Elephas maximus indicus: one gene and its partners. The protein of the gene in region 2 interacts with the protein of the main gene of each other region in a pairwise test. Links are inferred from orthologs where the notes say so. Each region holds a gene or a part of one and is shown on either strand. Other genes may lie near its edges.

Region 1 (7,732 bases), on a different chromosome or scaffold from region 2:
GTTTATGTTAATAATGGGGAGGAATAACTCAGAAAAGGAGGGTGAGGATGGTTGTACAATTCAAAGAATGTAATTAATGTCACTGAATTGTACATGTAGAAATGGTTTAAGTGGTATATGTTTTACTGTGTATATTCTCAACAACAAAATAAAAAGAATTGAAATAAAATTCACATACCATAAGATTTACCCTTTTAAAATGTAAATTTCTATGGTTTTTAGTATATTCAGAGTTGTGCACACATCGCCTCTATCTTAGAACATTTTCATCACCCCAAAAAGAAACCCCATACCCATTAGAAGTCACTCTCCACTACTCCTTCGTCCAACCCTTAGCAATCACTGATCTACTGTCTGTCTCAATGGATTTGCCTATTCCGAACATTTCACAAAAATGGAATCATACAATAATGTGGCCTTTTGTGTCTGGCTTCGTTCCCTTAGCATATCGTTTTAAAGGTTCATACGTATCGTAGCAAGTATCAGCATTTTGTTTCTTTTTATTTGCTGAATAATATTCCATTATATGGGTATATCACATTTTGTTTATCCATTTATCAGCTGATGAACATTTTGGGGGTTGTTTTTACTTTTTGGCTATTACGAATAATTCTGATTCCCAGGGAGCTCTTTAACAGCTACTACTGATTAAGGAGCTGACCCATATAGAGATGTGTCTATGACCAAGCAAGAGGTTCCTGGGGATTTCTGCCCTTACCCCTCATCAAAGTACCCTCAATCCAGAAGCAAAAGAAATATCTAGAACCATATGGTCCTCGACAGCTTACACATACCTTCATGAGCTGGTTTACCTCTCATCTCTTACCGCCCCTTCTATGCCAGCCATTGTCTTTGCAACAATACCCATATCCACGTCCTGATCCATTAACACCCACTCATCCTTCAGGTCTCGGGCATCACTTCCTCCCAGAAGCTCCTCCTCTCCTCACAGTTTGGGTTAAACATGTACCTCTATGCTTCTGTAACTCCCAGTACTTACCACTATCTTAAACCCAAACAAAACCCAGTGCCATCGAGTTGATACTGACTCATAGCGACCCTGCAGAACTGCCCCATAGAGTTTCCAAGGAGCTCCTGGTGGATTTGAACCGCCAACCCTTTGGTTAGCAGCCGTAGTACTTAACCACTACACCACCAGGGTTTCCCCACTATCTTAGGACATACCATAATTTAATCGACTGATTGTCTATCTGTTCTACTGGGCTGAGAACTCCTAGAAACTAGAATTGAGTCTGGTTCATTGATATGTTCCCAGCACCTTATGCCTGGCATCCCATAGGTGCTCGATATGTGTACTTTGAACAAATGATGGTCCCCAATTTGATGGTTTCCTATTAGTCCACGGCATAAACTCTGTACACTGGAACCTTCAAGGAATGGCCACATGTGCCTTGTTTCTCCTGTCCTCAACAGTCTGTAACTCTGAGACAGAAGGTCTAACAATTAGCATAGATCAGAACTTGGAGACATGCTACTCCTGGGCACAGAGAGACCAGTGCATAGCAGAACAAAGTGGTGGCTGAAGGCTCTGGCCTTGGGGTCAGGCAGACTGGGATTAGAATCCCAGCTTTTCCGTTTACTAGTTGTGACTATGGGCAATTTGCTTGAGCCTCAGTTTCTGCACTTACCAAATGGGATTGACTGAGGTTAAGCCACAGAGGTGTTAAAAAGGTTTTATGAGGTAATGTATGTAAAACCCTTAGCTCTGACACCTACTAAGTTTAGAATACAGCTCTTTGTAGCTTTTTCCCATAAGAAGCCCTGGTGGTGCAACAGGTATCGCTCATTTGCTAATCGAAAGCTGGCAGTTCAAATCCACCCAGCAGCTCTACAGGAGAAAGACCTGGTGATAAGACCTGGTGATCTGCTTCTGGTGATCTGCTCCTATAAAGATTACAGCCTAGAAAACCCTATGGGGCAGTCCTACTCTGTCACATGGGCTCACTAGGAGGCAAAATCAACTCGATGGCACACAACAAGCTTTTTACCGAATAAAAAAAGAAAGAAAGGAAAATACAAAGTGCTAACAAGCTTCCTCCGCTCTTTTTCTGTTCAGATTTTGTACCTCTACTAAGCTCACCACTGTCAGGCCTAGCCTCTGCCGAGAAATATCAGAAAATGGCTTTTTGACAGAGGTCCCACTGCAACAGAGGGAAAGGGGGGAAGGCTGAGACACCTCCAAGTGCCGTGCTCGCAAGAGAAAAACACCCTTCTGACAGAGTCATCCTTCTAACAGATTCATCTCTTATGAAACACCCAGTTTTAAAATCTACCGAGCTCCTTACAGCCTCTCCCCTAGCTTGTCCAGGACGGTGTCACCGGCAGCCAGCTGCTTGCGCCTCAGCTGCTCCTCTAGGTCTGGGAAGGCGCGAAGTGGCGGCACGTCGTCAAACCGCACGTTCCGGGCCGCCTGCAGCTGCTCGGCCAGGTTGCTGAGGGAGGCCACGAGGGGCTGGCAGTCGCTCAGCGTGCTCCGCCACAGGCCCTGCTGCTCCTCCACCGCGGGGAAGCACTGCCGCAGGGCCTCCCGCACCGCAAGCAAAGGCCGGTCCTGAGTCATCGTCTGTGCAAACCAACAGAAGCAGCGTTAGGTCCCAGGTCGGTCGGGAGTTACGTCCGTCCTCGTGTCAGGACACGTTCTCAGCCTCCGCCCTCAAGCCCGCTTCCTCAGGTAAGGCTGTCCATTCCTTCAGGCAGGAGTTCCTGTCGCGAGGTGTCGTCTTACCTCCGGAAGCGGCTCTCTGAAGGAAGCCCCCTGTGGCCCACCTCAGGAAGCGTTTCCGACTGTTCCTCAGAGGAGGTTTCTCCAGGGATAGGGCGGTCTCCTATTTCAGACTGCGGATTCCCGGGGCCGAGGCTCTGTCTCGCTCTCCAGACTCGTGCTACTGGAGCCGGAATCCTGTCTCTGCTTCTTGAGGCTGCTCACCGCTTTCCCTAAATCAGAGGTCAAATTTACCGTCACCGCAACGAAACATCGATGACACGCGGATCTCTGTGCGCATGCCCAAAAGCGATTCCTCGTCCCCACCCCGCCCACCCGCTCGTAAAGCGCAACCTCAGGCCAAGGCGGCCCCTGCGCTGAGGAAATACGTCATTCAGCCGCAATGACTTCTGGGTGTTGTAGTTCTACGTGTGGACTGGCTGCTTGATTGTAGTGCTTCCTAATGATTGGATGTTGTGGGACCTTTTTAAGACGGCGACTTCTCATTCGCCAGCCTGGAGCAGTTAAGTTTGAATTTGGTGGCGGCGGTCGCATGTCCGGTTAGCCCCAGAGCAGATTTCCTCGCTGGTGGAGCGGAGAGGTTTTTCCTCGCTCTTGTTTTGGGACCTGCAGGTATGTGACTCGCGCCTTCTTTATGCCCAGACCCTGAAGGAGGGGAGTTCCCTACTGGCCCTTCTGGGTCCTTGTCCACCTTCCCCTATTCCTTTGCGGTTTCCTTAGTTTCCCTTCCTCCCTGACCCTTTGTCATTCGGTCTCCCCCGTCCCCACAGCCTCCACCGAAGCACCATGGCTCCGGCTAGGAAGGGCAGCAGTCGGTCGACTAAGACCAATTCGTTGCGGAGCCGGAAGCTCGCCTCCTTTCTCAAGGACTTCGACCGTGAAGGTAAGGGGCGGGGCCCGGGTCGTGGCACCTACCTGGAACCATCGCTGGGTCCCGGCGGGTTGAGACGCAGAGAGCACGGATTCTAAGCCTCATGCATCCGCCGGGTGACCCGCGTCCTGTCGGCTCTGCCTTTTCACAGTGCAAATCCGATACAAGCAAATTCAGTCAGACAGGCAGAACCTCCTCAAGGAGATGGATAACCTGTACAACATCGAGATCCTGCGGCTCCCCAAGGCACTGCGCGAGATGAACTGGCTCGACTACTTCGGTAGGTGCTGCTAGAGTTTCCCGCAGGCCTCGGTCTGGGACCCCTCGGTGGTACAGACTGCACACTGCCTTCAGAAGGAACCTGCTCAGATGTCACCTTTTTAGTGAGGTCTTCCATGACCACTGTTGAAAATTGCCGCCCCACTTCCATCTCCTCTCCTTGGTTTATCCTCTTCCATAGCATTTATCATCATCTGATGCTGGGGTTTTTTTCTGGGTAATGCTGGGTAGGCTAACTTTGTCTATAAAGGCCTAGGTAGTAAATATTTTAGGTTTTACGGGTCAGAGGGTTTCTCTTATAACTACTCAACTCTGCTCTTATAGCTCCAAAACAGCTATAACAAATGGGCATGGCTGTATTCCAGTAAAACTTCATTTATGGACACAAAACTTGAACTTCACATGTCACGAAATACTCCTTTGGTACTATTTCCAACTGCTTAAAAATGTAAAAAAAACGTTCTGAGCTCACAGACCATACCAAAGCAGGTGGGAACAGTTTGCTGATTCCGGATCTAATCTAATACATATTTTACCTATTTTGTTGATTACATATCCTTTTATCCACAACCAAGATTGTAAGCTGCACAATGACAGGGCAGGAAATTTATCTGTAGCCAGAAAGGTATCTGATAGGTACTAAGTACTCAGTAAACTTTATTAAATGAATGCATGAACAGCTTGGTTTGTTACCAGAGCTCAGATGGAAGGGTGAGCCCTAGGGAGTTTTTTCTGCAGCTTATAAAAATTGCCTGTTTGAAAATGGGCAAATCAAATTGTGATGTGTAAAGATACAAGAGTTTTCCTGGCCAGAGAAAGAAAAATCCTAGTCTGTTCTCCCGCCACCTTGTTAAAGATTCAAGGAAATGCAGGTAGGCACCCTTTCTGCTGCATTAACCAACTTTTCCACTTTCTTTTATTAGTTACCCAGGCTATAGCCTCCTTCCTGGATAGAAAGGCATGTTCTGTTTACAGTAGCCAGTTGCCATCAAGTCAGTACTGACTCATGGTAACCCCACAGGTGTCAGAGTAGAACTGTGCTTTGTAGAGTTTTCAGTTGTTGTTGTTGTTTTTTTTGGAATTAGATCACCAGGCCTTTCTTCCAAGGCACCTTTGGGTGAACTCAAACTTCCAACCTTTTGGTTAGCAGCCAAGCACATTAACTGTTTGCACTACCCAAGGATTCCTCTGTTACAATAGCAGACATTGAATAATCTTTTCAAAGTTGCCCTTTTATTTATTCATTCATTCATTTGCTCGTTTCTACAAGTGTTCATTGATCATTTGTCAGTCACAATGCTAGGTGCTGAAGATGCATTGACAAATTCAGACATTGTGCCTCAGGAACTTACAGGTTAGTGTAGAAGGGTGATTAAAAACTTTACACATGATTTTATACTTAGTTATAAGTGCTATAAGAGCAGAGTAGCCACCAGTAAGCTCATTTATGTAGTGCTTTGTATGCTTTACATATGTTAATTAATTTTATCCCCATAACAAGCTTATTGTCAATATTATCTCTATTTTATAGATGACAAGATTAAGGCACAGAGAAGGTAGTTACTTTGCTCAAGGTCTCATAAGCTAATTAGTGGCAAAGTCTATTTGAACCCAGATAAAATTCTGTTTCCAAAGCCACAGTTCCTGGCTGTTATACAGAATACTGTGAGAGTTTCTAGCGTGAGAACCTCACCTAACTTTAATTCTACATCTGAATCTTTCAAAGACCTCTTCATTCAACAAACACTTACTACCCAACTACCAGATGCCAGATTTTTGCCAGAAGCTATGGATATTATTGTTATTCTCAAGGAATTCACAGCGAAGGCAAGGGTGGACACTTAAACAGCTCTGAGTAGTTGTAGGGTAGGAAGAGGGTGAGTAACTAACTCAGTACTTTGCAGCAACCTACTGTGAGGGAAAAATAAACAGTTTGGGGGTCAAGGCAAACCTGAGTTCAAATTCTAGCTCTTTCATATTCCAGCTGTGTGATCTTCCTCAAGTTACTCAATCATGTTAATCTCTCTGGTCTTGGTTTCCCTATCTGTAGAGTAAGGGTTGTGAGGGTTGAGACGTGGTGAGTGGAATGCTTGATACATAGCAGGGCCCATTGTTGAGGAGGTGGCTTTTGAGAAGAGTTTTGAAGGATGAATTAGGAGTTTATTGAATGCAGAGAAGTATTCCAGGCAGAGATAATAAGTATTAGGGCACTTAGTCCTGAAAGGCGGGGGCACATCTGGGGAAAGGTGAGAAGTTTGGTGTGGTGGAACATAGAGTAGGTCATGCGTAAGAGTCAAGGCTGGAGAAAGACTAGATTGTGAAGGCCCTGGAATGTTGGACCAAGGGTTTAATCTGGTCCAGTTTTAGACAGATAACTGATAGTGTAGGGAAGATGAGTTATTGTCAAAATCTGTAATAACTAAATAACATGTTCTTTTTAAAGCCCTTGGAGGAAACAAGCAGGCCCTGGAAGAGGCAGCAACAGTAAGTGATCTGTCCTGTTTTTGAACTGTTGGTTAGTTCTTTAGTCCAGTCACAGAATCCAACCAGTGAGTGGTTACTGTGGAAGAGGTTCCATAGGGAACATGATCTGCTCATGTCGTGACACAAAACTACAAATCAGAGCTTCTGATATAATATAGCCAATGTTATTACACCAGGTTGAGAGAAGTCTAGTCTTAAAACCCAGGGGAAGGATGAGACTTGGGTATGGAAGCTCTTAATTGGTAGGTGTGTCAGGAGTCCCAAGACTACCCTCAGGTCTGGTGATTTATTGGGATTTACAGGGCTCAGCATATAGTCATACTTAGGGCTATGATCTGTTACAGCGAAATGACACAAAGTAAAATCAGCAAAGGGAAAAGGTACATGTGGCAGAGTCTAGAGGAAATCAGGTGCAAGCTTTCTAGAGTCCTCTCCCAGTGGAGTCACACAGGACACATTTAGTTTCTCTAATAACAAGTTGTAGCAACACATGTGAAATGCTTTCTACCAGGGAATCTCTTTAGAGACTTAACGACCAGGGTTTTTATCAAGGACTGGTCACATAGGCACCCTCTGGCTAGCGTGTACCAAAATTCTAGACTCCTAGAAGGAAAGCAGGTGCTCAGGATAAGCCATGTTGTCTGTACAAAGAGTTTGGGTACAATGACCCGTTATCATTAGGGAATGTTGAGAACCCTCCCAAAATTCAAGTTCCCAGATGCCAGCCAAGGGCCATCTTTGCAAGCAGACCTTTCTAAGCATAGTGGTCTCAGGTCTGCTGTGTTCACTCATTTAGGCACTGTGAGTGATTGGTGGCCTGCCACCAGTGATACCTTCATTGCATGTCAGTTGTTTATAGAGACAGCAGAAATTTGGCAGGGATACCACCTCTCTCGCTTCCCTTAACAATCACAATCTATTACAGCACTGTTTCTTGCTAAGCCCACATGGCTTCCCTTAACTATCACAATCTATTACAGCACTGTTTCTTGCTAAGCCCACATGGCCTCAGAATCCTCAGAGCTGTGCATGTAGTCCCTGCCACGCCAGAGATGAAAACCTGTGTCATTCCTAGTCTAACACCTGTTCTGATGTCTGCTTCTGGCAATACCCATACATAGAGGTGGTAGCCACCACTGTGAACAAGTTTAGTTAGAATGGCCACTGAAAGCCCTTTGAAGGACCCAGGAGTGTGATAGAACCGTTATGGAGACCTCTCGACTCATAAAGAACATGAAGTCTGACACAGGACCAAGTGCTGGAGAGGATGCGGATCATTAGAAACTTGTATTGGTTGCCAACAGTATGTAAATAAGTGCAACCACTTTAGAAAACAATTTGGCATAATATCAAGG
Region 2 (7,000 bases):
TTTCCATAACCATGCTCCTGAGAAGTTGCTGTCGAGCAAAGATCTTGAAGGCTCTGTTTACTGACTCTAGATGCTAGCCTGCCAAGAGGTTAGGTCCCCTTTTCTCTGCCCCAAGATCGCTGTTCTCTTCAGGCCTCCTCTATCCACAAAAGTACACTGCAGTGACCATCACTTTCTCCTAAGGGCCTGGACTATGTAACAGTTGATAGCCAACTTAATCATTACACTTACCCTCTTTAAGGACACAGCCAGCACTTGGATACAAAAAGGTGGTTTTCCAAGGACTCAAGTCTGAAATTATTTGATCAACTAATTTAGTAGTCCGTATTAACTTGGAAACCCTGGTGGCATAGTGGTTAAGTGCTACGACTGCTAACCAAACGGTTGGCAGTTCAAATCCACCACGCACTCCTTGGAAACTCAATGGGGCAGTTCTACTCTGTCCTATAGGGTCACTATGAGTCAGAATCGATTCAACAGCAGTGGGTTTGGTTTTTTGGTATTTAATTTAGAATCTATTTCTACACTGGACAGAAAAGTTGTTAGTGTGCCTCATACCTGCATTTAAAAATAAACACTGAAGACTCTGAAAGTGTTCCAGGACAACTGGCATCTTGGTGGGACAAGAGTTCCTTGTGAACAAGACCCATGGGGACCTTCAAGTCAACTCTAACCCCTCCAAGTTTCCAAATACTTCCTGGATGGCAGCTATAATCCTGATGTAGAAGAGGGCAGAACACTAGCCTTAAAAAATACAGCAAAAAACTGAAAGTGGCAACAAAACAATGAGGGGAAAAAATCACAGCACAGAAAAGCTTTGCAGGATACACGCATACGTGTATGTTTCACCAACTGCCACTGAGATGGCTCAGATCCATGGCCACCCCATGTGTCAAAGTAGAACCGTGTGCTATAGAGTTTTCAATGGCTGATTTTTCAGAAGTAGATCGCCAGGCCTTTCTTCTGATGATGCTGGCTGGGTGAACTTGAACCTCCAATCTTTCAGTAAGCAGCCAAGCCCTTAACCATTTGTACCACCCAGGAACTAAACCAAAACCAAAAACAGTGCTGTCAAGTCGATTCTGACTCATAGCAACCCTACAGAACAGAGTAGAACTGCCCCATAGTTTCCAAGGAGCACCTGGCGGATGTGAACTGCTGACCCTTTGGTTAGGAGCCGTAGCACTTAACCACTACGCCACCAGGGTTTCCTGCAGATCTATATTGTTAGCTGCTGTTAGCTGGCCCCCCAACTCATGGTGACTTCACACACAAAGGAATGAAATGTTGCCCAGTCCTGCACCCTCCCTGTGACTGGTTGTGGATTAGACCGTTGTGATCTACAGGGTATTCATTGGCAGAGCAGTGGAAAGTAGATCTCCAGGTCTGTCTTCCTAGTCCATCTTAGTCTGGAAGCTCCACTGAAGCATGCCTAGCATCACAGCAACATGCAGGCCTTCACTGACAGGCGAGGGGTGGTAGCTGCTCGAGGTGCACTGGCCAAGAATCAAACCCAGGTCTCCCATATGGAAGTCAAAATTTCTACTACTAAACCACCAAATGCCCCACAGTAGATCTGCTACCTGTCAGTATATACCCTTTTCTTATGTTAACTTTCATTCTTCACCATTCTGGGGCTAACCACGTTTTTGAGGAACCCCTCCCCATACTCAGCCTCCCTTTTTCCTCTTTAATCTTCTCCCAATTTCCTAGAATTACCCCCAATCCCTCGTTCTTAATAAAGGACCACCTCCAAGCTTTAGGTCTGTCACCAAGAGGTAGCTGCCTTTCCTGGCTCTCTGCTAACAAAAACTTCAGTACCCAGAGATCTCTAAGGAACAGCCCTTCCCAATGATAGCAGGGCACCAGGATCCCATCCCCCTGTGAGACTTCTCTTCACATGCTAAATATCTGAAAATGGCTGAACAATTGTCCATGAAATCTAATTCGACTACAAAGATTATGACACACATTTAACAAATCAACTGCAAAGATGCAGAGAGTGAAGAAGCACCCTACTAACCATGCTCCGCTTTTATATTCACAAACTCGCTTATGGCTCACAGCAAGGCTTTGCAGTAAGTATTCAATCTTTAGGGTATCTTACATTTTCAGAGAATATCAAACAGAAGCTTTAAGCTTCTTCTGTATTCAACTGAAGCAGCTCTGTTAAAAAAGAGTGGTTAAGCTGCTTGGCTGTGAAGCAAAAGGCTGGCAGTTTGACCCCACCAGCCACTCAGTGGGAAAAAAATGTGGCAGTTTGGTTCCTTAGACATTTACAGCCTTGGAAACCCTATGGATTGCTGAGTCGGGATAGACTTGAGGGCAGTGGGTCTGGTATTCAATTGAGAACAAGTAAAAGCTGCTCTCTGTATGAGAGTGAAAAAAAATCAAGGAAATTTGACAAACTCGATGGTCGTCAGGACCAGTCGGGACACCCCCTCTGTCACCGGAGGCGGGGGTAAGGTATCCCCAGTACCATCCATTCCCTAACACTGAATAAGCCTCAACAATACACCAGAAGTAGAGGACTGTAAACAAGACTGGCTTGGCCCTGTTCCCTCTGAGTTATGGGTACTGCAGGGCAAGAAACACATTCAGCTATTTGTACAAGTAATTATTCTATAAACGATAGAATGTCCCCAGCCAGAAGGCTGGATGAAAGTAGATATCCAAACCTGCATTTAATTCTTTCAACAAGCCCAAACCAAAATATACTGGGGTTCCCTTTTCAGCTGGAAAGAACACTGACTTTCACCTCCGACAACTGAGTAAATATCCTGCTCAGGACCTAGTGATGACCCTGTCCCATGGATATATTCTTTGACACTTGCAATCTGTTGGCACAGCTACTCATTCAAGATGTGTAAGAATTATAAGGTTTTCAGGGTGTATAAATTTAACAGGAAGGGCTGTTGTTATGATGTAGTGGAGACAGAAATCTCAAACTGAAGGTTCAGAAAACAGCTTTAAATAACTTTAGCAAATTCCGGTCGACAACCATACCCAGCCTTTTCACTCTAGTGAAACGTTTTGGCTTGACCTTAGACCCTTCTCTGGCTTTTATTACTCACCTTTTGTGGTAAATGTGGTTAAGGGATTAATCACTCCCCTTAGCTTTTTTTTTTTTTTAAACCCAGCAGCCAACGTGATCTGGTTGCCTACTCGACCTTGCTCATTTATAATTTAGCTCTTAACAACCCAAATCTCATTTATAATCTTTACTTTACCTTAATGGCAGTGATGGCAAAGGCTATCTTCCGCCGCCCATCGATGTTAGTGTTGAGTACTCGCAAAATGTGCTGGAACTTCTCGGGGATCACCAGAGACTGATTGAAAGAGATGGGGGGGGGGATCAGACACTGTGAACTACCGTCAAACCGTAAGACGAACGAACCACCTCAAACAGGAACGCTAAGTTTGTCACATAGGGAGCAATGACCCACTCCACGTTTTCACATCACCGCAAACTCCTCATTCCTGCAGACAGCAGAATCATGAACCGTTCAGGCCTAGGGATATGCAACTTCCGGAAAGGGGACAGGTCCCCTGCCGACTCCCAAAAGCATATTCTGCGTAGAAGCTGCCGGAGATCCCCGCACACGCCTAAACCTCTCCCCGCTTTCGTGCCTCCAGGGAGTGACCCTTTCCCGGGTCCCGTTTCCCGGAATTGGAAGTCTTTGGTCATCCATTCTCAGGGGTGTAATGCAAGGCTCCACACAGAAAGTTGCAGGCCCCTAGGATAGGGCGTTTTTGGCCCTCTGAAAGCAGACGTTCCCTGCCCCGGTTCCGATGCAGCCAGATCCCGACCCGGACTCTAGACTTACCATGGCGGCGGTAGCTTCGGCGGCGTGTAGGCCTCCGGTGGAAGAGAGAGCGGAAGTGACGCCAAATACTTATATAGCTCTCTGGTGGAAGGGGCGGAGCCATCTGGAAGAAGCGCTTCCTGAAACGGCTTCACCCCAAACTGACTAGACTTCTGAGGAGCTGACTTGGACGCCACAACTTCCGGTGGTGTCTGCTCTTTACTGTCCGTAAAGTTCATGGGTGTGGCAACAGCGAAGATTCCGGGACGAGGCTGTATGTGAGACTTCCGCACTCTCGTTTGTGCTTAGGTGAAGCGGTTACAATTGAAAGGAGTTAGACAGTTTAACTCATTTATCTGCGAACGGGTTTGCGTTGTGCAAGGCTCTCTGGAACGGACTTGCCCGGACTGACAGCTGCCGGAAGTGAGGCTGCGCCTAATGGCCGCAGTTGCGACCATGGCGGCAGCAGCTCGGGAGCTGGTGTTGCGAGCCGGCGCCTCGGATATGGAAGAGGAGGAGGGCCCGCTGGTGAGAGCGCCGGGCTGTTTTCCTCTCCGGAGCTCCATCCGGGCCTCCTAGCGTCAGGAAGTCCCGGGCTGGGTGTAGGCACAAAAGGGTGGGAGCTCGGCTGCTATCGGTAACGCTACCTGTTTGGCTTCCTGGGATCGGACCTGAACCTGAACGAAAACCAGAGTAGCCATGACTCAGTTTCCAGGGGCACAATTTCAACTCCTCCCGATTTGGGGCAGAACAGAGAAGCCTCTGGAGCCACACAGCCTGGGTTCGAATTCCAGCTCTGCCACCTACACACTGTCTTTGGGCAAGTTAACCAGCTTTTTCTATGAGATGACGAAAATAATAGTATCTGTCGTATTAGATTGTGAGGATTACGTGAATGAATATATGTAAAACGGTCCCTGACATGCACTTAAACAGTGTTTAAGTTTTAGCTGACTTTTCTAGAAAGGCTCGGACTCCCCAGAAAGATGGTGATACGACATGTGAAATAGCAGGAGTCTAGGACTCCTAAAGTCAGCTGCAAGATCTGCCCAATTTTTGCAGCTTCTCATCTTCCTCAGAGACCTCCTCCCTCTTCATGGATTACATGCTTCCTTTGCCATATGTCCTGTCCATAAATCCTAAATAGTAGGTGGGGTACAGAGTGAGACTCTCGGAGGTTTTTGACTCAGCACTTACTACTCCCCAGTAAAAGAACCTCTCTCCCACTTGGAAGATTGAGGACGTCCTATTGTATTTTGTTCTTTTCCTCCTCCTCGTACCCCTCTCTCGGTAATTTTTCCCTTCCCAGGGGAGTGGTACTGGGCTCCAGGAGCCACTGCAACTTGGGGAGTTGGACATCACTTCTGATGAATTCATCCTGGATGAAGTGGATGGTAAGTGATGGCATGGGGCCTCTGCAGAGCTGGAAGTTAGAGTGCCTGTAATCTAAGGTGCAGCAGGTGCCAGAAGGAGTAACACAGAGACTGGTGTGCAGATACTTAGTGTGGGGGGTGAGAGCTGTAGATCCGGGCTCTTATGATAACTTTCTATTTCCAGTTCACATTCAGGCAAATCTGGAGGATGAGTTAGTAAAGGAAGCTCTTAAAACGGTGAGGCTTTCCACTGTACTAATCTGCTCCCTCATCTCCCCTCCCCCCAAAGAAAAGAAAAACAGTCTTCTATTCTCATGACATGACCGTGGTGTCCCACTCTCTAGCCCTTTGTTGATTCTGTTCCAGTGATTCTTTGTTGCAACTTAGTCCTGACCTGTCACTTTATATGTCTTCCTAGGGTGTGGACCTCCGTCACTATTCAAAGCAGGTTGAGCTGGAGCTACAGCAGATTGAACAGAAGTCCATTCGAGATTGTATCCTCCACCAGAGGGCAGGAGTGGTGTTATTGACAGGGATTTTGTCGGGTATGGTGCAGGCAGCCCAGCTAGGGCTGAGATTTCCCTGAGGTTTCTGTCATCTCAGGGAGAAATCAGAGAGGTTCTGCAGGTCTGAGAATCTCCATATTCAGCATGAGGCCCCTTGACTTTTTGTGGGTCAGATATCCAAGAGAGCGAAAATATAGCATCTCTGCACAACCAGATCACAGCCTGTGATGCTGTCCTTGAGGTTAGTAACCATGGCCTGTGACCCATAACAAGCATGAACTGGTCCAAGACTTTTGGTGCCATTTTTAGTCATTGACCTTAGGTGGAAACAGGTTAGAGTCATTTTCAGGATGACCTCAGCATCCTTTTTCATGGTCATTTCCATAGCTGATATTCTTTCCGAACGGTGACCTTTGGGATACTTCTCCCCTCATCACCCCCCACCCTCACAAACTGATAGATACTAGAGATTTCACCAAGAGAATTAAATGGCCCACTTGTCCCCTACCAACCCTTTGGTGCTCCAGCAGCATTTACTCTCTCCCCAGCGCATGGAGCAGATGTTGGGAGCTTTCCAGAGTGACCTCAGCTCCATCAGCTCTGAGATCCGGACACTGCAGGAACAGTCAGGAGCTATGAACATTCGTCTTCGAAACCGCCAGGCAGTTCGGGGGAAACTTGGGGAGCTTGTTGATGGTCTGGTGGTGCCCTCTGCCCTGGTCACGTGAGTCGCCAGTCTGAAGGGTCACAACATCTATGGCAGCTAGAGACTTACCACATGGGTCTTCTGGGTCCTGGTCATCAAGCGCCTGCCAGAAGTTGGTGGTTGGATTGACAGTCTTTTCTCACTGCGATATGTGCTTTAGGCATCAAAGATTAGGAGTCATCTAGGGTCAGATGTGTAGTGAGGAGGTTCGAGGCTTACGTGGAGAGTCTAGAAGCAGAAAACTGTACATACAGCCTGACTGCATGTTACAGTGTAAGAAGGTACAGCAGGCAGAGGCTGGGTGTAAGGGGTGTGGTTTGGGCGTAGTCTAGGGATGCCTGGGTCTCCCACCTAACCCACCTTGCTCCTCCCTGCTACCCAGGGCAATTCTGGAGGCCCCGGTGACAGAGCCCAGGTTCCTGGAGCAGCTGCAGGAGCTGGATGCCAAGGCAGCTGCAGTCAGAGAGCAGGAGGCTAGGGGCACAGCGGCCTGTGCAGACGTCAGAGGCGTGCTTGACCGGCTCCGGGTCAAGGTGGGGAGTGGGGGTAGATACCCAGAAACTGCTAGAACCAGGCTCCCTAACACCTTCACCCTGGATTCCCTGGCAG
Region 3 (6,881 bases), about 4.9 Mb from region 2:
AGGCAGCATTTTGTCCTATTGTGCGTGGGGTTGCCATGAGTTGGGGGCCAATTTTACGGCAGCTAACAACAACAAAAGTTGTTTTACTCCCTTTATAAATGAAGATGAAGTTAAGGAGGGGAAAGGTGAAAACCTGCAGGCAGACAACATTGAGAGTCCTTTACGTATAGCTTCAAAATAATCAAACCTCTGGGATAAATTCATCACGGAGCCATACAGTGCTATTAACAGATGTACAGCATTGGTGTCACCTGGGAGCTTGTTAGAAATGCAGGATTATAGGCTCCACCCCAATTTACTGAATCAGAATCTAGGCTTTTAACAAGCTCCCTAGGTGATGCATATGTACGTTAACAGATGAGAAACACTGGTCTAGTGGACCAGTCTGTGCCTGCCACTATGGACCTCCATCAAAAGGGCTCTAAGGACCCCATGGGAACCTCAAACTAGTGATTTTTACCTCTAGTTAGGCAAAACTTGATGTGAGGGTGATCTGGCTGCCACAGTTATCTCCCCTTTGATGGGCAGGGTCGATTTGATTAATCTCCTGGTTAGGTGTGTGGCCTCTCTCCCTCATCACTCTAGGTACAGAGACATTTCTCAGAAGCTGCAAAAGGGTTTGAAAATGACACTTTTTCCTAAGTGTGTAAGACTGTTCTTCAAAAAAGGGTATGGGCGAGCTTATAGAATCTTTGGTAAATGGACACATCCTACTAGGAGTTAGGAAACATGGTTTTCATAATCACTCCCAACCAGAAATGTATATGAACAACATAGAAGACATGAATTGTTTACACTCTCTGTTTTCTAGCTCAATAGATATTTATTAAGCACCCACTATGTGCCAAACAAGGAGATCTGGTAGCATAAATGGTCAAGAGCTCGGCTGCTAACCAAAAGGTTGGTAGTCTGAATCCACCCGGTGGTTCTGTGGGAGAAAGACCTGGCAATCTGCTTGCCTAAAGACTGCAGCCAAGAAAACCCTGTGGAGCAGTTCTACTCTGTAGCACACGGCGTTGCCATAATTCAGAATCTACTCAACAGCAATGAGTTTGGTTTGGATGTGCTAAATACTAATCTATGTGATGAGAATATAGTAGAGAACAAAACCAAGTCCCTGCCTGGGGAGGGTGGAGTTTGCTTTTCGTGGGTGGAGACAGACAAAAAACAAGTACATGATATGGCAGATAGTAAAAAAAAAAGCACTATTTAAAAAAAAAAAAAAACTGAGTAGGTGGAGCCTACTATTTAAGATGGGTGATCAGGGAAGTCTTCTCCAAGGTGAAGACATTTGGGAATACACAGGAATGGAATGAGGGACCAAGCCATTCAGATATCTGGGAAAAGAGAATTCCAAGCAGAGGAAACAGCTAATGCAAAGGCCTTGAAGTAGGCAGTGTTCAAGGGACAGCAAAAATGCCAGTGTGATTAGAACAGATTAAGCAGGGAGGAGAGTTGAATGAGATGAGATTGGAGGTGGGTGGCACCACATCATGTAGTGCATTTAAGGAATTTGGATTTAATACCAACGGTGATGGGAGCCATTACTAGGTTTTGAGCAGAGGAGTGACATGATCTGACCCGTATTTTAAGAGGTTTTCTTTGGGTGCTATGTGGAGGATAAACTACAGTAGAAGCAGGCAGCCTAATAGGAAGCTGCTATAAAGGTTCAAGCAAAGATGTGGTTGGTTTAGGTTTGAGTGGTCGTGGCGGTGGTGGTGAGAAAGGGTCCAGGGATTCTTGACCTTCCTACCAAAGACTATTTAAAAATTTATGCACCAGGATGCTGGGGTGGATTTTTCTTGTCTTGTATTTGAAACTGTCTTAGATGTAGAAGACAATGAATAGAAATAATAAGGGCTTCTCTGGGTTCAACAATGTTAACAGCATCCCCTGAGAATCAGTGTTATGTAACATTTCATAAACGATTAAGAAAAAGGAATACTTTAAGACATGTCTAGGTATACAAATTATACTCTGCTTTCCACATAGCGAAATATCAGGTCAATAGGGAGCTTCTTCTGGAACATTTCTAAAGCCATGTGAGTAGGCTGGAAAGAGGCAGGTGTCTTACCCTGTGGACAAGTGTAAGGGGGCTCACGTAGGGAAAGACAATGCAGATGATATCTTTAAGAGAATGAAATCTGAACTGTCAGTTACCACCAAGGAAAGCAATCTAGAAGTCTCTGTAGATCATTCCTTCAAGACATCAGCTCTTCTAAAGTCTGAAAGACCAGCAAAAGTTCTGGATGTCCAGAGTAAAGGAAAACATCAGCATCAACAAAAGCTCAGGACACACATCTCTGGGCTCAGTGTGCAGTGCTGCTCGCCGCATCCAAAGAAAGAAAAGAGCCCTAGAAAGGCAGCTAAAATGATAAAAAAAAAAAAAAAAGAGGGCCTTTTGTGTGATGAATTAAAAGCCCATAAAGGTGACTATCTGAGAGAAGATAAGATGAAAGTCTGTAAAAGGACCAAAGATTTGGAGAGGGTAAAAATAGCTCCTTTCATACAAGAATCCCTTAATTCTGGAATTAAGAGACAAAAGAAGCTTGAAAATGGGGGTAATGTACTTCTTTGGGGAGGGGGAAGGTCTTTAAGTAAGTTCCAACATGTGCTAGGACATGTAGTAGCAGTAAAATATGGGTGGGGAAGGGACAACCGGTTTGCCTCAAAAGTCTCTACTTTCAAAGAGGCAAAGAACATCTTTGTTGGGGCAAAAACTACTTCTCACTCCCACCCTCTGTAAATCACCATGGTATACAACCACAGAAACTTAAAAAGAGCAAAATATCAAAAAGGCATTTAAAGGATTTAAAAAGCTAATTTTAAATCTCATTCTGAGCCAAAATTAGATTGACAATGAATTTAAGGGTGAAAGATTTACACTAGATTAGTAAGTGAAATCGAAACCCTGGTGGCAGAGTGGTTAAGAGCTTGGCTGCTAACCACACGGTGAGTAGTTTGAATCCACCACCCGCTCCTTGGAAACCTTATGGGGAAGTTCCACTCCGTCCTATAGGGTCTCTGTGATTCGGAATGGACAACGGTTTTTAACCGGTAATAAGAGAAATTAAGTGGGGGAGGGGGAGAGGTACATCCTTAATCTTTGTGATTCACACCGTGGAGAGCTACTATGTTTTAGCAAGAAATAAGACCTGGTAGTTTGAACTGAAGAGCCCTGGTGGCGCCGTGGTTAAGACCTTGGCTGCTAACCTAAAGGTCAGCTGTTGGAACCCACCTGCCACTCTGAACGAGAAGGATGTGGCAGTCCTTCCTTAAAGATTTACAGCCTTAGAAACCCTATGGCTCAGTTCTAGTCTGTCCCATACACTGTTTGTCAGCATCTGGGTTCTTATAGTAAGTTATTGATTGAAACAGGGATTATTAGGTCATTTGAATTTCACCCACAGCACAAGTATTCAATTAACAGAGGCCGGGGATACTCCGTGCAGAACCAGCCGTTACTCACAAGTTGGACAGTTAGCAGCTCTAGGCTATAGAATCTGTATCATCCTCCTTCACAGATTAAAAAAAAAAAAAAGCAGAGCCCAAACCCAACAAGGAAGGGGGAAGGGAATTTGACAGGTGTTTAAAGACGGGCAGCAACCAATACATAGGGCCTTACTTTCAGGTTACAGATTTATGTATACATTATCAAGCTCTCTCTTTCCAAGAAATATTAGATTCAGGATCCCAAGAGGCTTCATCCCCCAAAGAAAAGGGAACCCTTTCTTCCTTCCAATAGGTCCCTTTCTTTACCTGCTTCTCCTGAGGGGTAGGAACTTTCAGCTCCGCCTCCGTGCTCGTCCAAGCTCCGCCTTCCCGGTCCACCTGTGTGCCCGGTCCCTGACGTTGACGTTCGGCTTCAGCAGCTTGCAGGATTTTGGCTTTCGATTGGTTCTCCCGTTTACAGCCTGCATAGCCCACCAATGGCAGCGGCGCTGGGTAAGGGGTTGCCCACTTCCAAGATGGCGCCCCCAAGAGCTGGGAGCGGGTGACCCGCGGCAGGGAAGCGGCCTGGGTTGGCCCTCCGGTTGCGGGGTCCTGGGGGCGTCTCGCCGGCTCCCCCACGGCCCGCCTACAACGCTTTCCCCGGGCCAGAGCAATGGCCTCCGAGAACAGCAAGCAGTTTTGGAAAAGGAACGCCAAGCTGCCGGGGAGGTGAGCCCAGGACGCTGACAGGGAGAGAGGACTGGACCAAACTCCTCCAGATCCTACGGTCTAAATCCCGCGGGCCTGGGGCGTCGCAGATTCCGGATGGCTGGTTTGGAGAATCCCGGTGGGGGAGCGGGGACCGCCTGTGGCTGCAGGGCAGCTGTCAGGAAGAGGAACGGGCGGCAAGCTTTGGGGGACAGCTGTGTGTGGGAGCAGAGCAGAATCTGGGGTCGGAGGTCTCTGGAGAGGCTGTCCTCAGTCAGGAGGTGGCCAGAGACCGGACCTAAGGGGCAGTGGAGTTGGGTGAGTAGCCAGAGTCCGTTCTGGGCTCGGAGGGTTGCTTCTCACTTTAAACAAAACTCCCTCTCGGGGGTCTCCACACAGGTGGTTGCTTGCACGAGGACGGCCCCTTTCCTGGGATAACCCTCAGTTTGACACATACGAATCTTTCACTTGGGTTCTCCAAAGATTCTGTTGGCGCCGCCTTCGGGGGCAAAATTCTCCAACCAGATCTTACTTTATCTTGAGTTGGCCCTTTCCCATTAGGAATTATTACAAGGTGACCCCAAAATCGGGACTATTTCTTTAGAATTTCCCAAGGATTTGGCCAGCCCTAGAGATCTCATCCTCTCCTGTGCTGTAATGCTTGCTTGTACAAATGTACCAAATCCTGTCAATTTCAGTTGCTTAGTTGAAGAGCAGACCTTCTAAGCTACTTTTTTTTTTTTTTTTGGTGTATGTTGAGGCTTTTAGCAATTGCCCATCTATCATCCTGCTGTTGGTTTACAGTCTCAATTTGTTTTGGGCACAGTTCTGAAAGTATAAGGAGGAATGTGTTTTAGTTGTGCATTTAGGATTTCTGCCAGCCACCGTCTGCCTGGTGATGAAATTCATGTTTGGTTGTGCCCACGTGCCACCTTTCCTAGTTGATTTAGCCGTTTCCCTCTGGGATAATCCTTTGAAATTGTGACTTTTAGCAAGAGAGAAATGAAGGTCAGTGGTACCTATATATAAAAAATTTTTTTTTTTTTTATGTATAGCGGACCTATTTTATATAGGATCTTAATAGACCTATGGAGAATAATGCGGGAGCCAGCTTTTTAGTAATACAGTATTAAAATAATACAAGGGAATGCAAAGATAGGTTCAGATTAAAGTGCTGTGGAATTACAGTGTTAATGCTAAAGACCTTTGATGTTTTTAGATTAGCACCACTTCCTGCCAACTGATTCCCTTTTCCTTCCCTGTCTAGTCGTGAGCTCTCCAGCTGTGCCAACTGCCAGTTGTTTGGGGGTTTTCCATAGTGAGATCATTACATTTTGACATCCTAAAATAATAATTAGAATCCATGGGAAAACTGTTAAATCAGGAAGGAATATATGAGATGTGGGACATGGCATGGTTCTTTTGTGCCTACTGACTACTGGTTACTTTTGATGATCTTTTGTTTTCCATGTTTTCTTTACTGGACTCTAGGAACAGTCAACTTTTTGAAAGCACTACTTTTGTGAGATAGGAAGAAGAGTCTTCTTTCAGTTTTTTCAAGTTTCTGGCTTCCCTTTTTGTTTCGGAGAGGAATATGGAGGCATAGAGGAAAGAACATTTAACTGCAAAAAGACCTGGGCTATTGTTTGGGCTCTCTTACTTACCTTTGGGACCAAGGACAAATAATCTATTTAATCTCTCTAGGCCTCAGTTTACTGAGATATCTGTTATCTATGAGATTCAGATAAAAATAGCTTCTTAAGGATTATCATGAGGACTCAATGAAATAGTCTATTTGTAAAGAACCTAGATCAATGTTTATTTAGCACATTATAGTTGTTCAGTAATAGTAATTATTAATATTACTGTTACTAGAGCAAGTAAACATTTAAAATAATATTTCTCACACTAGGTAAATACTAGTTTGTCTTCATTGTTTATTCTTAAGGCATTAAAACGTTGCCACAATTCACGATAGTTTTTGCTACCTCGAATGTTGAAGAGAAACATTGTTCAGCACTGTGATTTTAGCAGGGAAGCCTCAAGAGCCCCTGGTTATGGGAGAAAATTAAGGCTTTTTTAGGAAAGGTGCTTTGTCTTAAGTAAAAATGTTAGGGCATTTTCTCAAGAATAGATTTTTGCACTTGTACTGTTTTGGCCGTAGTGAAGACCAACTTTCTCCTAGGTGGGAAACAGCACAAATGACCGGGTAGTAGTCCGTGCAACCTAGAAGTGAACCGGTTTATTCTTATTTGCAAATTGAAAGTTACAAAATCAAAGTGATGGCAGCTTACTTTCAGTTTCCTGCATCATGACCCAGAGACCTTAATGACAACAAATAGGAATTTTATTTCATAAAAATAACCTAAGTTCAAAATGAATTAAGACCCTTAAAAAAAAAAAAGCTTTATTGAGATAAAATTCACATTTCATAGAATTCACCCTTTTAAAATGTATAATCCAGTGGGGTTTTTTTGTTTTTTGGGGGGCTTTTTTTAGTGTATTCAGAGTTGTGCAGCCGTCGCCACTAACTTCGAACATTTTCATCACCCCAAAAAGAAACCCCAAACTCGTTAGCAGTCTGTCCCCATTCTCTCCTCCCTCCAGCCCATGGTAACCACTAATCTACTTTCTGTTTCTATAAATTTGCCTATTCTGTACATTTCATAGAAATGGGATCTATATAATATGTGGCCTTTTGTGACCGGTTTCTTTTATTAACATAATGTTTTCAAGACTCA

What was found. The genes of interacting proteins can lie anywhere in the genome.
Region 1: the proteins of VPS52 (region 2) and C3H1orf109 interact in binary tests that used the Homo sapiens proteins (3 or more experiments, as listed by UniProt). The two-hybrid records come from large-scale screens. The link is inferred for Elephas maximus indicus from reciprocal best matches to the Homo sapiens genes VPS52 and AIRIM.
Region 3: the proteins of VPS52 (region 2) and TBC1D22B interact in binary tests that used the Homo sapiens proteins (3 or more experiments, as listed by UniProt). The link is inferred for Elephas maximus indicus from reciprocal best matches to the Homo sapiens genes VPS52 and TBC1D22B.

Annotation. Positions count from the first base shown.
Region 1 is NC_064821.1:79,284,627-79,292,358, forward strand, and holds the start of C3H1orf109 (ribosome biogenesis protein C1orf109 homolog), read right to left. Parts: upstream 3,013-7,732; 5' UTR 2,747-3,012; exon of another isoform or gene 2,585-2,746; 5' UTR 2,582-2,584; coding exon 2,307-2,581; intron 1-2,306. Other genes in the region: CDCA8 (borealin), read left to right, coding at 3,530-3,626, 3,766-3,894, 6,337-6,377. UniProt on the Homo sapiens protein: Part of the 55LCC heterohexameric ATPase complex which is chromatin-associated and promotes replisome proteostasis to maintain replication fork progression and genome stability.
Region 2 is NC_064819.1:96,065,589-96,072,588, reverse strand, and holds the start of VPS52 (vacuolar protein sorting-associated protein 52 homolog), read left to right. Parts: upstream 1-3,985; 5' UTR 3,986-4,244; coding exon 4,245-4,334; intron 4,335-4,453; exon of another isoform or gene 4,454-4,626; intron 4,627-5,115; coding exon 5,116-5,200; intron 5,201-5,363; coding exon 5,364-5,416; intron 5,417-5,597; coding exon 5,598-5,673; intron 5,674-5,858; coding exon 5,859-5,926; intron 5,927-6,233; coding exon 6,234-6,409; intron 6,410-6,773; coding exon 6,774-6,924; intron 6,925-7,000. Other genes in the region: RPS18 (40S ribosomal protein S18), read right to left, coding at 3,231-3,329, 3,828-3,830. UniProt on the Homo sapiens protein: Acts as a component of the GARP complex that is involved in retrograde transport from early and late endosomes to the trans-Golgi network (TGN).
Region 3 is NC_064819.1:100,951,507-100,958,387, forward strand, and holds the start of TBC1D22B (TBC1 domain family member 22B), read left to right. Parts: upstream 1-3,869; 5' UTR 3,870-4,105; coding exon 4,106-4,161; intron 4,162-6,881. UniProt on the Homo sapiens protein: May act as a GTPase-activating protein for Rab family protein(s).